2 linked regions of the Tamandua tetradactyla genome follow. The protein of the gene in region 1 binds, or shares a complex with, the protein of each later gene. Links are inferred from orthologs where the notes say so. Each region holds a gene or a part of one and is shown in the gene's direction. Other genes may lie near its edges.

The links. The genes of interacting proteins can lie anywhere in the genome.
Region 2: the proteins of NR0B2 (region 1) and NR5A1 are in contact, whole or in part, in a crystal structure (PDB 1YMT), measured with the Mus musculus proteins. The link is inferred for Tamandua tetradactyla from reciprocal best matches to the Homo sapiens genes NR0B2 and NR5A1. Residues at the interface, in NP_035980.1 of Mus musculus: Thr19, Ile20, Leu21, Tyr22, Leu24, Leu25, Ser26; in NP_001303616.1 of Mus musculus: Ile275, Val278, Arg282, Phe287, Val292, Gln295, Met296, Leu299, Gln300, Asn450, Leu452, Glu455, Met456.

Annotation. Positions count from the first base shown.
Region 1 is NC_135328.1:199,327,170-199,334,654, forward strand, and holds NR0B2 (nuclear receptor subfamily 0 group B member 2), read left to right. Parts: upstream 1-4,391; 5' UTR 4,392-4,420; coding exon 4,421-4,961; intron 4,962-5,815; coding exon 5,816-6,057; 3' UTR 6,058-6,568; downstream 6,569-7,485. UniProt on the Homo sapiens protein: Transcriptional regulator that acts as a negative regulator of receptor-dependent signaling pathways. Specifically inhibits transactivation of the nuclear receptor with which it interacts.
Region 2 is NC_135328.1:46,602,419-46,610,913, reverse strand, and holds the start of NR5A1 (steroidogenic factor 1), read left to right. Parts: upstream 1-5,050; 5' UTR 5,051-5,173; exon of another isoform or gene 5,174-5,225; intron 5,226-6,623; exon of another isoform or gene 6,624-6,753; intron 6,754-8,495. UniProt on the Homo sapiens protein: Transcriptional activator. Essential for sexual differentiation and formation of the primary steroidogenic tissues. Binds to the Ad4 site found in the promoter region of steroidogenic P450 genes such as CYP11A, CYP11B and CYP21B.

The DNA of each region.
Region 1 (7,485 bases):
AATCCATTTTTGGTATAATGCATTCTGGCAGCATTTTAGCAAATTGAAAACTATGTATTTATTTCTTTATTTTGGTGTGTACTGATGGCCTCCTATTTTACTCAGTGGGTTACAATCTGCAACTATCATTATTTATTTTGATGCTCAGATTGTCCCAGATTAGGCCAATGGGAATTCCTTCCAGTTGGAGTCTATGTCCTTTTGCCATGTCCCCATCATTCTTTGAACACCTCTTTGTTTTCTGGTGTAAAAAGTATTTACTTCTCCAGCCCCAGCCTTGGAATCAATCAGTACTCCAAGAAGCTCTGAAGGTCCCTAGTTCTGTTGCTGTGAACATGAGCCAATGGTATATGAAGCTCATCTATTGCAGATTACATCTGCAGTTGGCTAGGAGGTGTGCCTGCTGCAATGTATGATGTTTGAATTAATTGGCTGGAAGCTTAAATGTGAGAGCTCAATGCAGCTCTCTGCCCAAGTAGCTCAGAATACTTCATCTCAGCACTTCTCAGCTCAGTCCAGGCCTTTGGAGATGCAGAAAGGAATCACCCCGGGGAAAGTTGTTGGGACCCAGAGGCCTGGAGAGAAGGCCAGCAGAGATCGCCCTGTACCTTCTCGCAAAGAAAGAACCTCAGTTGAAAGTTATCTGCCTTTCCTCTGAAGAACTATATGTTTTTAACTAAGTAAATCCTCTTTTATTAAAAGCCAATCCATCTCTGGTGTGCTGCATTCTGGTAGCTTTGGCAGACTAAAACAGATTTGATACCAGGAGTGGGGTGCTGCTGCAGTTTGCAAATACCAGACATGCTGGAACAGTTTTTTGGATGGATAAGGGGAAGATTTGGGAGGAACTGTGAAGAGAATGATGGAGAAGTCCTGGAGTGCTTGAAGAGACTGTTGGTGTAAGTGGAACCACTGCCAATCTGAACAAAGTGGGACACAAAAAGAACAAATTGGAGTTTGCAGAGTGAGAACCATGGAAGCTTAGGTCTGAAGCCAAGAAATCTCAGGCCAGGAGAGTGAACCCACCTATATACATGGAGAGAGTGAATTTTCCCTGAAGGCAGAGGATGAGTCTCCCACCTCATTGCAGTGGAAGAGTTGTGTCACCTCAGGCTTTGGAGAAGGTACTCCTTGGGAATTGGGGAGAGCCTGGCTACCATCAAATGGAGGGGTTGAGCGTGTGCCCCAGAAATGGCAGAGCCCAGGTGTGGCCCCGATGCTTGGAGCCAAGAAAAAGGTGGTCTCCTCAATGTCCCCTGAGGTTGATTCAGAAAGAGGTGGGCCACCACATAGGCCCTTGGAAAGGGTGGGATTGCCACTTTGTAAAGCCAAAGGATATATGACTTTCAGACTTTGAAATCCAATGGAATTTGCCCTGCAAGTTTTCAGAACTGTTTGAGTCTTGTGACTCCTGTGTTCCCTCCAATTTTTCCTTATAGAAATGAAAACATGTATCCTGTGACTGTCCTTCCTTTGCATATTGGCATCAGATAACTTGTTTTGAGATTCATAGGTCCACAGCCAGAAGAGATTTTTTGCCACTTTAATATCGTTTAAAGTGATATGTATAGTTGCCAAGTTGACAAGGGGTAGACATGTGGTAGTTAGGTTCAAGTGTAAACTTGGCCAGGTGTAGGTGCCTAGTTCTGTTGCTGTGGACATGAGCCAATGGCATATGAAGCTCATCTATTGCTGATTACATATGCAGTCAGCTAGGAGGCATGTCTGCTGCAATGAATGATGTTTGATTTAATTGTCTGGATGCTTAAATGTGAGAGCTCAGTGTAGTACAGCCAAGCAGCTCAGCATGCTTCATCTCAGCACTCACAGCTCAGTCCTGTCCTTTGGAAATGCAGAAAGAAATCACCCCGGGGAAAGTTGCTGGGACCCAGAGGCCTGGAGCGAAGGCCAGCAGAGATCACCCTGTGCCTTTTCACATAAGAAAGAACCTCAGTTGAAAGTTAGCTCCTTTCCTCTGAAGAACTATACATTTTTAACTAGATAAATCCTCTTTTATTAAAAGCCAATCCATCTCTGATGTATTGCATTCTGGCAGCTTTGGCAGACTAAAACATATGGGGTTATGTAGGAGAATGTCCTTGTTTGTAGGAATTATACACTAAAGTATTCAGGGGTTATAGGGCAAAAAAAAAAAAAATAGCAAAGTATTCTCAAACGGTGAAGGAAATAAAAAAGCTTCCTTCTACTGTACTTAGGACTTTTCTGAAAGTTTGTGAATGCTCCAAAATTAAAATTAAAATATCATTGACATATGAAGAGCTAAGCAAAGATTATGCAGCTACAAAGTGTAGGCAAATTGATCAGGCAATTGATGAATAAAAATATTTTATTGTTCTCCTAGTTTAGGGATGTTTGTGCCTTCTGTCAGTTTAATTTGTAGTGATTTATCTTCTCTTTGTTAATATTCACCTTCACACCTGATTTTCAATTCTTTTCTTACAGAAGGCCCTCCAAACTGTGTAAGTTTCTAGCCCCACAAAACCAATATCCTCTCTTGAATGTTCTGCCACACTTTAAAAATGAGAAAATAGTGATGCACAGGTGGTTAAATGGTAGAATGCTTCCCTACCATGTGGGGGACCCAGCTTCGATTCCAGGCCCATGCTCCCCTACCCCCAACAAATGAGGAAACTGAGGACAAGGAGAGAAGTGAAGTGGCTTGCCCAAGGTCACTCATTAGGAAGTGATGAAGCCAGGATTTGAACCCAGGCAGTCTGACTCTAGAGTCTCCGTCAGTGGGATGGTGTGAGGATCCAGTGAGGTAGGAGGACATAGAAAGAACTTAACAAATGAAAGGAATTAAGATTATTCACAAGCAAATGAAAGATATTTGCCTGTTTGTGTGCTGGTGCTTAGTTCCTTAGGGAGAGGAAAAGAGCAAAGTCCCCAAATGAATGCCCAAACTGCTTAGAACTTGACATCTAGAACCTCACTTGGTCCTCACAACAGCTCTGCAGACAGATATTATTGTCCCCAAAGAAACTCCTGAGGTCCACAGAGGTCTGAGGATCAGTTCAAGGACATAGCTAGTATGTGATGGACCCAGGAGCAGATGCCAGGGCTGGATGATGCCAGAGCCTATCACTCTCTGTCCAGGGCACCACACTGCCTGGCACTGTGGTAGCAGAAGTTTGCCAGGCTGGACATGCCAAAGTCCAGGGATGTGACACAGTCAAGGAGACTCATGCTCCTTCTCATACCATATGTCTTACCATCTGAGGACAGAGGACCCAGGGGATGGGCAGAGCAATATTTCCCTCCAGATCACAAGTGGGCATCACCTATAGACCAGGAAGCAGCTAGGTGGGGGCCCAGGTAGCCACCAGCTCTGAGAAAGTCAGGTAGCATAGCTCTGGCTGCATGTTGGGTCAGCGAGTACAGAGGGACAGCAAGGACTTCGGAATCAGGTAGATCCAGGCTCTGACCCTTCCCAGTTGCATGACCTTGGGCAAGTTGCTTCACCAATTTGAGTCTCACAAAGTAAGACCTTTGCCTCATAGGGAAGCTGTGAATATTTACATGGGAAGTGCCTGGCACGTAGCAGATCCTTGATAAAGAGCAGCCATATTTCATTATCGATCCATGAGGACTTCGTGGCAGACATGTCCTTTTAGGAGTTATAGGAATCTAGGCTGGGGAGAAAGTGTTCTGAAGGACCTCATTTCTGCAGGGCACCCAGAACTGGAGTCAGAGAAAGGGGACCCCTTGATTGCATAGTGGGCATAATCTTCCCAGCCCCCAGGGTCCTGGCTCTCTTCCTGGCTCTCCTCCTGACAGCAGGAACACGTTCCCAAGGCTAGGCAAACAAACCAGTGATAAGGCACTTCCTGGTTGGGCCTTGCATTCAAGGCTTCTCCAGCTCTGCTGGGACTGGCTTCCCGGCTTAGGAAGAGTGCTGGGTTTTTTTTTGTTTGTTTTTTGAGTATACAACAGGCTTCTCCACTTTTGGGGCTGGCTTCTCAGTTTAGCAAAAGCCCTGGTTTTCTGTGCCTAAAAGAGCAGGCACCAGTTGGGATACCTGTCATGGCCACCTGCTGATTGTGCACCTGAGACCTTGGTGTCCTGGTACAGCCTGGGTTAATGACCCTTTATATTCTCTTGAGTCATCCGATAAGGGGCAACGGGCCAGCGGGCAGGCAGCCTGTGCCCTGCAGTGGCCCCTACATTGACTGAAGCCATATCAGCGCCACGTGGAGCTTCTACTGCCCTCCTCCCCCACCATTCCCCGCCAGTCCTGCCAGGGTCAGTATGTTTTTTTTTTCTCAATGAACATGACTTCTGGAGTCAAGGCTATTGGGGCCGTTCCTTCCCACCCCCCACCCTGAGGGATATAAATAGCACCCACAGTACAGAGCAGAGGGCAAAAGAGCCAGGAGAAAGAAGGAGCAGATTCTGAAACATGAATTCCAGCCAGCCAGGGGCTTGCCCATGTCGAGGTGCTGCAGGCCGCCCAGCCATCCTGTATGCACTTCTGAGCCCAAGCCCTGGGGCCAGGCCCTCAGTCCCAGCATCCCGTAGCCACTGCCTGTGCAGGCAGCACCGACCCGTCCGCCTGTGTGCTCCCCATCGCACCTGCCAGGAGGCCTTGGACGTTCTGGCCAAGACAGTGGCCTTCCTCAAGAACCTGCCATCCTTCTACCAGCTGCCCGTCCAGGATCAGCAGCGCCTGCTGCGGGGCTCCTGGGGCCCCCTCTTCTTGCTTGGGTTGGCCCAAGACACTGTGACCTTCCAGGTGGCCGAGGCCCCAATGCCCAGCATACTCAAGAAGATCCTGCTGGAGGAGCCTGGCAGCAGTCGTGGCAGTGTTCAGCTGCCCGACAGGCCCCAGCCCTCCCTGGCTGCAGTGCAGTGGCTTCAGTACTGCTTAGAGTCCTTTTGGAGCCTGGAGCTGGGCCCCAAGGAGTATGCCTACCTGAAAGGGACAGTCCTCTTCAACCCTGGTGAGCTCCCAGACACTCCGGGATGGGGGCCAAAGTGGAGGGAGGACTCATCCAGGGAGGGTACCTTTGAAGGGCTTGACATCCATCACCTCTTTGGTTCCCCATTATCGTTAAATATTCATCACACAGAAAAAACTCAGAGAGAAGTGGGAGGGGAAGATGAGAAGAGAAAGGGGAAGACTGTGTGGTGAGGTTCTGAAGGTAGAACTCCATAGGTCTGGAAAGACCACACAGACAGGAAGAACGAAGGGGGTGTAAAAGAGAAAAGGGAGGGAGTCTTAGTGAAATGCACCTAGGAGAGCAGCAGATGGAGACCATGTTCTCTATAATCTGGAGAGCATCTAAGATAAGACTATTCCACCAAATGGCCCCTGTGGAATGCTTAAATTATAGCAATTGATTATAATAATACTTATTATTATAACTGAAATAATTATAATAGTGAACACATATTATACTTACTGTATGCTAGACCTTATTTCTAAGGGTTTTACATATACTAAATATCATTTAAACATCATAACAAGCTTAAGAGTAGGTATTATTATTAGCCCCATTTTATAGATGAGGAAACTGAGGCACAGAGATTAAGTAACTTGTCCACAGTCGTGCACTAAATAAGGGATGGCACTGGGATTGAAACCCAGGTAGTCCGGCTCTTAACCATTACTCTATGCTGCCTCTCCATAAATGGATGATGAATAAAAAGATAAATGAATAAATGAATGAAGTAGGAATGGGGCCTTAAAAGCTGAGCAAAGAAGCAGGGCAGTGCCTGCTGGCAGCCTCAGGTCTCGTCCCTTGGTGGCTAGGAGTGGGGTGCTAACCAGCCTTCTCACCCTCTCTGCCTACAGATGTGCCTGGCCTCCACGCCTCCTCCCACATTGGGTACCTGCAGCAGGAGGCTCATCAGGCACTATGTGAGGTCCTGGAGCCCCAGTGCCCAATAGGCCAAATCCGCTTGGCCCGTGTCCTCCTCATGGCCTCTATCCTCAAGTCATTTCCACCCAGCCTGCTCAGAGACCTCTTCTTTCGCCCGGTGATTGGAGACACTGACATCACCAGCCTCCTCGAGGATGTGCTTTTGCTGAGGTGATCTGCCCCGGCCCTAGCAGAGATCCAGTGTAGATTGTGCAGAGGTTGGCAATGTTAATTCAATCTGGCTTGGCCTGCCTGTCCCCAGGAGTGACCTGATGCTCCTGGAAGGACTAAGCCTGTATAGCCAGCACTCAGCCCTCTAGGATCAAGCTGAGCCTGGCTCAGCCAGATGGCCTGTGGAGCCCCTCACTCCAGCCAGGCCCTATCTTGGACTTCCCTCATTTGGACACAGTGCTTCAGCCAACTGGCCAGCTCTTGGTGATCCCCAGAGTCTCTGGACCAAGACTCCTGTCTCCTCCTGGGATATGGAGGGCTTAGGTTGCTCATAGGCCAGAAGTCCTACTTACTTTGTACAGAACTGACTTAAATTATTACTTTTTGTAATAAAAGGTGTGACACTTTGGAGCCAGACATTGTGGTTTGTACATAGGTAAAGAACCACCTCACCTCCAGGGCCCTTCCTGCCCCTATGAGTAGGAGCCCAAGGGAAAGAACCCATAATGGGTGTAGGAGCTGGGTCTCAGGGAATCAGGGTATTAATTTCTCAGAGTGAGATGATGATTTCATTTCTGAGGATGAGATGCATTTTGCCTCTGCTTGTGAACCCAAGGGATAGCATCAGTTCCCAAGCCCCTTACATATCTGCCTTTATCCTTGGTGGGGGAGTGGGGCGGGGGGAGGATTCTCCCTTATCTCCAACCCCTACCGACTCTTCCCTGGTCCCATCCCCTACAGGCTTCCATTCACCTCAGTGAGTCTGATCATGGTCAGTCAGGAAAATGAAGCAGCCCATTCCCAAATTGAAACAGAGACGCTCACTGGAATTTCTGCAAGTTTGGGACAATTCATTCCCCTACCCGACCCCCATTCCCCGTAGTCCATAGAAGAATGTGCCATTTTTCTCCTAGTTGTGGGGAGTGTGTGTGGGGGGAAAGTCTCCCTGGGCTGCCTAGAAGCTGCTTAGAGGCCAAGGCAGGCTGAAGTTTAGCTGGCCCACAGTGTTACAGCTACACAAGTTGTTAAGAATCTGAGATGCCTCCATGAAGTTTAGCTGGCCCACAGTGTTACAGCTGCACAAGTTGTTAAGAATCTGAGATGCCTCCATGAAGTTTAGCTGGCCCACAGTGTTACAGCTACACAAGTTAAGAATCTGAGATGCCTCCATGACAGGCAGTTAACAGCTCCCTCCCTGGGTCCCCTTCTACTGCCCTTCTGCCCCAGCCTCTGTCCCAGGATCCTCTTCCCAGACATTCCCATCATCCAGCTAGAGGTAAAAACTTGACATGACCATGGCCTCCAGGACTGCTCCATTCAGTGCCACAGCTTGTGTCTTCTCTGGTTGGGTGATGCCTGTGGCTCACTGTTTGTTAATCAGATTGAATATCACCTCTGGGTCAGGGTGACTGACCCCTCTGGTGGGCAAGAG
Region 2 (8,495 bases), about 150 Mb from region 1:
TGAGGTGGATGAGCCTCCAGGGATAGAAGGCGGCAGGCAGGCACCTCCCTACTCTGTTACCCAGGTACAGAGGAGAATGGAGGAAACTTAGGGGTGTCCATGGCATCACTGAAAGTCAACCAGTTCACACTGACCTGCCTCCACCTGCCTCCCCTTCTCAGAGAGGCAAGTATCTGCCATGGTCAGTGTCATCAAGGCCTTTAAAACCCTGGGAACAGAGAGCTAGCTGCCTTTCTTTGCTACCCATTTCCTACATTTGTAGTTTGTTCTTGATTTCCTAGGGAATGGGACAAATGGAGAAAGACAAACCCAGCATGGGCAACATCTAAGCCGTGTCCAAGGTTAGCCAAAGTAAAGTGAGCACTGGCCTCCCAGCTGGGCAGGCAGTTGAACATGGTTCCAAGACTTTAGCTCTGGACCCTGGTCTATATATTTTTGTTGTTGTTGTTGTTTAAAGTTTTATAATTGTTTTAAGAAATCCAGTCTTTTCAGACTTGCCCTTTTATTACACTTTGAATTTTCTTTATTGATTTTTTTAAAAGGAAAAATACAAAAAAAAAAAACACTACTCTTACTCCCCCCCACAAGATTCTCCCCACAAGAGTCTCCCCGCACTCCCTTCTGCCTTTGCAGTTTATCGTTCCTCCCTTTTTTTCTCTGCTTGAAGCATCTATGTCCAGTGTGTGATATGATGTTTTATCTGTGTCTCAGGATGAGAAACGGCAATCATTCCACCAGATGCTAGAAACTGGTTAGCCTTGAAGCAAGGGTTTCTAGGGCCACAGCTCAGGGATGTGTATTTAATTACAGGGTCCCCAGAAATCCCCTCTCGGCTGCCACAGGCAACAGCTTCTTTTCTGGGCTTGGGAGCCAGACCTGGTTTTCTTCAGAGGCAGGAGCCCCCTCCTCTGGCCAGAGAGCCTGCTGGGACTTCCTGTCTGGCCAGACCTGGGGACTTGGAGACTTTAAGACTTCTAGCTATCCCACAACAAGAGCCATGGTAGCCCTGCCTCTACCAGCTCATAAGAAGCCTGGTTCCTCTAATCAGTCCACTTTCCACCTGGCCTCCCTTTTCAAGCCTGCAGCCTAAATGGGCCATGGCCTGCTCAGGAACCCACCGTGGGCCTAAAAGGGAAGCTGTGACTCAGGCCAGAGCCTGCTGCAAGCCCAAGAAAAAAGTTGAATTAATGGTGGAGGCTAGTCTTCCAAATCCTGGAGCCAGTCCTACCAACCAAAGGATCATCTTTGTCTTTTGGTGACTATTGTTTTCTTACTCTGAAATGTCTTGTATTAGGTGATAATGTTGAACTCAAATTTCCATGAAAAAAAACTACCTCTTGAGTAACATCCTGGTCGATTCTTCTCTGAAGAATTCTGTGGGAAAAGAACACTGTAACTCCTGTTCTGTTTACATGTTTCTGTCGGGAAAGAAAGCCTGCCTGCCCTGGGGTGCTGGTGTTTTTGTCTGTGTTGCCATCCCAGGTCTGCGATAGGGCCTTGTGGCTGCATTGTAATGTCTGGGCCATGTCTGGGGAGTCCTTCCCACCTGCCAACCAGGGACTAGCCACTCCCTTGAAAAGGCCTCCATTTTCTTCCTGTGTTCCATGGCATAGGGAACACCACCTCCCACAAACTCCATCCTTGGGGGATCTGGTGGCACATGCATCCACGAGCCTGCCCCTGGGCTTCTCCAGGCTTGCCTCTACCCACAGTCCTGTGTAGGAATCGAGTAAATGGGATGTCTCTGAGCCCTTGTCCCCAAAGGGCTGGCCAAGGGCTGCCCCAGCCTGGCTCCATCAACCATGCATAACTAAATGATAGTTGGTGGGCTCTGTGGGCTACCCAGGCCCTCTGCTACCTCCCACCCTGCCAGCTGGCAAGGGATGGGCCCTGTTCTGTGAATTGACTACCTGTGGAAATGTGACCAATTAGTATAAATGCATGTTTAGAAGTGTTAGGTACTGTATTTGAACCAATAAATGTGAATCCTTCTACACATGGCATCTGTCTTATCTAAGGTTCTGGGGAGGGATGATGGGGTATCCCAAGCAATTAGCTCATACCTTCAGACCTACGGCTCCTCTTAGAGATGAAACCTACCACAATCCTTATTGCTGAGGGTTTGGCAGAAGGGATGCCTCTCTAAGAACTTCTTAAATCAATGAACTAGCACTGACTGTGTACCAGGCCCAGTGCTAGAATTTTTCACAGATCTGAACCTCTTTGAATCTCTAGAATTACTAACTATTCTATAAGTGAAGAAATGAGGTCAAGAGGTGGAGGGACTCTCCCATGGTAACCCAGCCAGAAAGTGGCACAGCTAGAGGAACTGAGTCTACTGGGAGAGGCAAACCCAGACCTATGCAGTACAGTGGAATCGGGGTTGCAGTTAGGGATGTATGTGGGTTGTAGGACCTGGAGGAGAGAGTGCATTGTTCTACTCAGGATAGTCAAGAAGGGTTTCACAGATGAATATTATTGAAGGTGAGCCTAGAAGAAAGTAACCAGACAAAAAGGGAAAGGTAAGGCAGGTAAAGGAACCAACAATATATGCAAAGGTCCAGTTGTAAGTAAAAAATATATGGAGTATTCAGGGTAGTTCAGTGGTAGAATGCTCGCCTTCCATGCGGGAGACCCTGGTTCAATTCCCTGGCCATGCACCCCCAGCCCCCAAGAATATATACATATATGGAGCAATCAGATATAGCAAGGGACTGCAGCAGCAAGAGTGGTAACAGAATGTGGGGATTAGTGCGTATCAAGCAAATTGAAGCTTCAAATGCCACATTCAGGGGTTTAGGGAAAAAACCATCTGCTAAGTCTCAGGAAAGAGCTGCACACATCAGTGACAGCAGTCCAGCAGATTAATAGTTATCTTTCTACAAAAAGGATGGCGTTTATTAATACTTTTTCTATGGCTGAAATCATAAAGGCTCTGAGAGGTTAAGGGACTTGCCCAAAGTCACACAGAAAGTGGCACAGTTAGGACTTGAACCCAGATCTTCCCAACATTCCTGTAACCCTGCTGCTCATGTGATCAGACAAGGGGCAGACTAGGGATGAGAATTGTGTGAAGACAGATGGGAAAGATGAAGGCTTCTCAGTCTGGGAAGATAAGTATGAAGAGAGTATGATCAAAGTGTATTAAACCATGTGGAATGAGGGGAAGCCCAGCTGCCTTCCCAAACCTCAGCCTCTAGCACAAAGGAGTCAGAGAGCCCTTGAGGTTTGAAAGCGATAGTTTTAAGACAAAGAAAACACTGCAGAATTATTAATAGACTCTTCCTTGCCCCACAAAAAGTAAACATAAGACACAGAGGTACAAGGAGAGGGGGGAACACATTTGCTGAGTGCCTATAAAGTACCAGGCACCATGGTTAGTGCTTTATGTGCATTATCTCATGTAATCCTCATAACCTTGCAAGGGTTAGGTCTTAGCCCCATTTTATTCATAAACAAATTGAGGCTTGAGGAAGTTAAGCCATTTGCCAAAAATGACACATGACTAAATGGCAGAATTGACTTTTGAATCCAGGTCTATCTGATAGCAAAGTTACAACAAGGCAGCCTCCCTGCTCAGCCTTAGCAATTCAGTAGTGCTGAATATGGACGTCTGGAGTTTGTAACAAAGCTCAGTAATGGCCTTTGGTTGAACTTTTTGCTATTAAGCAAAACTCTATTAAACTAACGAAAGATTAATTTCTGTAAGGGGTAGATGCACAGACCCAACCAAATTGAGCTGAAAAGCAGTGCTGTCCCAAATATATGACTTCTCAGAACATACACCAAAAGGTGGCTCCATGGAAAAATAAGTAGGAGTTCTATTGGCAAAATTTGGGGAAATACTTCACTTGCTCTTCTTTTTTTTGACCATTTTTTAAACTTTTTATTGAAGTATAATACCCACAAGGAAAAGTAAACAAACCATGAGTGTTCAGCTCAACTTTATCTTCTGCTCATTGACTCTCAACTTTCATTGGTACATAGTAAGGGCTCTGAGAGGTCCTAACTGAAAAAAACTGATTTTGTTTAACCCAAGGTCTACCAAAAACATTTTTTGAGCATGAAACATTTTTCCCCTAGCATAGCTGTGAAAATTCTATTGGGACAATATTCCATGGAATCTTAATGTATAAATTTCTACTTAACTAACACTGAGTTTTTGGTTCCCTCAAGTGCCAGGCAATAATCTAGAAGAAATGAATAATAAAGTAATTAATACAGAGTGAGCTAAGCAAAGCAATGGGCTGAGCATTTCAAGTGCATTAGATTACTGATTTTTTAAGGTAAGCCAATGAAGTTGGTGCTATAATGATCCCATTTTGCAGATGAGAAAACTGAGGCGCACAAAGGTTAAGCAACTTGCCTAAGGCTACATAGCTAGTGTGACCTCAGGAATGAGTATAAATTGGCACTGATCACCTACTATTTGGCAGGATATGTGCAAAGATCTTTATCCTTGTGCAATCCCTGTGAGGCAAATTAAGATCATCTCTGTAAATGAAGAAGCAGCAGGGTGTGCTGGCAGCTCTGGGTTATGCCAGAGATTGAACAAAAAAAAAAAAAAGAAAACCAGAAGTGATGGCAGGGGAGAGTGTTGGAATGAGGTTGGGGGTTGGGTGTGGTTCTATGGAGCCCTCTCCCAGGGATCACTTCCCTCGGACAACTCATGTGACAGCAGGCACATCTATCAGGGGTCTTACCACCTGAGTTCTAATCCCAGCTTTTCCCCCATACTAGTTACACATGACCTGGATCCAGTGGATACTTCTCTGAGCCACTTTCCCTATTAGATAAATAGAGAGGCCAGTACCTATGTCTCAGGGGTTTAAGGAGGATTGGCCATGGCTGGCTCAAAGTAGGAGCTTAATGAAGTCAATTCATAAGAGGAAGCTGTGTGAGGGGAGCTGCAGCCCCTCACCCCAAAAGCAGAAATCCAGCAGAGTTTGACCTGCCGTTAGCCTGGTTGCCTATTAGGGTTCTAGGTCCACAGTGTTGGTAATCAGCCTCTCTGGGCTGTGGCTAAAGTGCCCAACTGCCAGACCCAGGGCTCTTGGAGTTTTGTTCCCTTGGCAACAAGTCTCACCATGGAGACCAAAGTCCCATCCTTGCCCTCCCTGGAAACTCCCTCTCCACAGACCTCCCCTGCTCAACACCTAGTCCTAGGAACAGTGTAGGTACTGAGGAAAGCTACAAGGACCCTTCCTCAGGGTGAGGAGTTTGAGGTACAATCTAGCAAAAGAGGCAAAGGGAACTCCCAATTTCTGAATGTCTACTTTATGCCTGGCAAGGGTCTGAGGAGCCTATATAGGTGGTCTTATTTAGGTTGGAAGCCAAGCCCTCATCCTATCTTACATAAATGGAAACTGAGGCTCAGGAAGGCAGCATGGACCATCTCAGTTACACAGCTGATCATTATTGGAGCTGAGATTTTAATCTAAGGCTTCTAACTCCATGAACTGCTTTCCCTACAATGCCCCCTCTCCCACCCGTACTGCCAACACACAGCCTTCAGCCTCAATCTGGGGAAGAACTGCATAGTTGGGTGCGTCCCCCTCCATCCCAGGCCACGGTTGGCAGTATAAGCAGCAGCCAGCAGCCAGCAGCCCTTTGAGAGCTGGGCCGGGCCCAGCAGCAACAGCGGAGGAACTGCACTATTTTAAGCCAGGGCCAGAGGGCCCCATGTGGGTACAGGGAGGGTGGCCTCGGGCCCTTGGCTAGCTTCCCGGAAGTCACTGTGGCCTCCCTCCTCTCCCCTGAGCAGCTTTCTGAGGCAGTCACTTCCCTACAAACAGGAAGGAGGCCCTCAGGCCTGGAGACCTCCAGTTCCAGCTTCTTCCTCCTACCCCTCAGTCTTCTCCTCAATACCAGGGAGCCCACCAGCTCCAGGCTCTGATCAATGTCCGGTATCTGGACTGACTCTTAGCAGGTGGGTGGGAAGGGGGCCTGCACTGCTAGGGCTGCCTAGGGCACCAATTACAAGTTAAGACCTCCATTTGCCCAGGCCCTCCCCCATGCCCACCCCAAGACTGATTTCTCATATGTTCCCACTGAGGCTAGCTACTATGAGCCAAAAAGAAGAGCAGTGATACCCCCGGATTTAATCCCCCTTAAGGGCCCCAGAGAGAGACAGAGCAAAGAGAGACAGACTGGGAGACTGAAACAAGCTGAAAGAAATAGACATTCCAAAAGATAGATTGGGGCAAAACAATGACAGACATAGATTCATGGGGTCAGATAAAACTGGAGAGATGCTCAGAGATAAAAAGGAAAGAAAGACAAGACCCCAGAGATGGCTGCAGAGGGCTGGGACCTGGGGTGGGGGGTGGGGCTCTGAATGACGGCTCCTGCACACCCCCCAAGCACAGGCTCTGTCTCATGTCTGTGGGGGGCCCACCGGCTGCGTGGTTGAAGAGGAATGTGGGGAGCAAGGCTGGGTCACCCCTTGAGGGCCAAGCGTGTGCACGGTGAGATAAGCTACCCTAGGAAGGGAGCCCCAGCTGTGGCTGCACACTCCGGGAGCATGGCGGAGAGTCCCAATCCCAAGGCTGCAGCCCCAGCACTGCCTGACATGCAGCTCCTGCAGTTCTTGCTGAGGATCTCCACCAGGCCTCTTATTCCAGGGGGTCCCGGGTCCCTTGGCCCAGCCCTCAGAAGCATGCAGATTGTGAGAGTATCATGTTCACAGAGGAGGAGGGTGGCCACTGGAAACCCTGCCAGCTGCAAAGAGCTCTAACTGCAACCCTGGTTCAGGTGAGAGGGCCATAGAGCTGATCATGCAGAACAGAGGCTCCAGCAGGCTGTGGGGTGCAGAGGGGGTGCAGTGATGGAGCACTATCTGTGAGTTGTCCCCGCCTGGCTTTGTGCACTCATATGCACTCGTGTGTGTCTTGGGCATGTGTCCATGTGCTTCCTCTCATGTGGGGCTGTACAAAGATGTATGTGTCCATTTGTTGCCAGGAGTTCCACTCTGCCTCCCCCAAGTCTCTACTCTCTGTCTGGAGAAGTGGCTCCCAGAGGCACCTGGTCTTCCCCACCCCCACCAGGTGGTCCAGCCAGAGAGCCAAAAGGTGGAGGGGGAAGACTGAGCAGGTCCATTGCAGGCCCCTGGCCCCCCTCCCCACACTGCAGCTGAGGCTCCCGCGGCCACGGCCTTGACCCGGCACTATGGACTTCTCTGACATTGGCATCGGATCTGAACATCTGGCAGCAGGCTGATAAGGGGTACAGCGGAAACAGCCTCTGCTGCTGCCAGCAGGCCCACCCCCTCCTCTGCCCGGCACAGGGTCTCCACACTCCCTCTGCTTCCAGCTCTCTGGACCCCTACCCCTTTCTCTTTTTTCATTTTCTGCCTCAGTGTCTCTCTCTCTCTCGCTCTCTCTCTCTCCTTCTCTTTCCCAGGCTCTGAACATCTCTGGGTCTCTTTTGCTGTCAGTGCAGTTTCCTTTTCTCATTTTCTGGCTTCTTTCTTTTTCAGTCTATCTCCTTTCTACACTGTACCTCAACCCATTTCTCCCCTCTCTTTCAGTTTCTTGGTCTCAGGTTTGTTTGTTCCTTGTTCTACCTCCAGGAAATAGGCCTGGCACGTTGGGAAAGTCCCCACTTAGGAAAGAGACCCTGGGCTTTGTTTTCCTGGGGAGGGAGGCAGGCGGGAAGCCTCGGTCAGGACTACATCCCTTTTCCTCCTCCTCCCGGGGGTCTTGTGGCCCGGGACCACCTGGGCTGGAGCTTGAAAGAGAGGGCAAATAGGCCACCCAGGGGCTCTTAGAGAGCCAGGAGCACTCAGAGTCTGCAAGTCTAGGCTCTGGACTCCACTGTGTGGATTTGAATCCTGTTCCCACCACTCCCCTGCTTTGTGACTCTGGGTCGCAGCCTCATCTCTCTGGGGCCAAGTTGCCTCATCTCTCAAATGTTACTTTGGGAGGTGAAGGGAAAACTACTTACCTCCTAGGATGATGGAGAGGGCTCAAGATTGACCACAGGTGTAGAGTGGTTAGTAGCAGCCCTGGCCCATAGGAGGCAATTTTGTATTAGGGCCTTGCCATTCCCTGCATCTGGCAACCCCTGGCTCCTCTTGTTCCCACAGAACAGCCAGTATGGATGAGGGCAGGGGAGGGGCAGCACAGAACAAGAGGAGGTTCACCCAACTTATCCAGTGTTGATTGGAAATTTGGGGAGTGGGTGAGGAGTGCCTAGCCTGAGTGGTGGGGGGAACTGACAACTGACTGCCTAAAGGGAAAGGAACAGGGCCACGGAGGAGCAGGAAGCAGACCTCTATGCCCACTGGCAGCATCTGGGAGCCTGCAGTGCAGGGACGAACAATTATTCAACCAACACTCACTAATGCTTGCTCTGTGCTGGCTTCTGTGGACCTAGAGGCAAATCAGCCCTGAGCCTTCCCTCCCTGGGTTCCCCAGTTTGGAGTGAGTCACTCTATCACAGAAGGGCAAACATCATGGTGATGTTGCAATCTCAAACTCGACACAGAAAGGGCC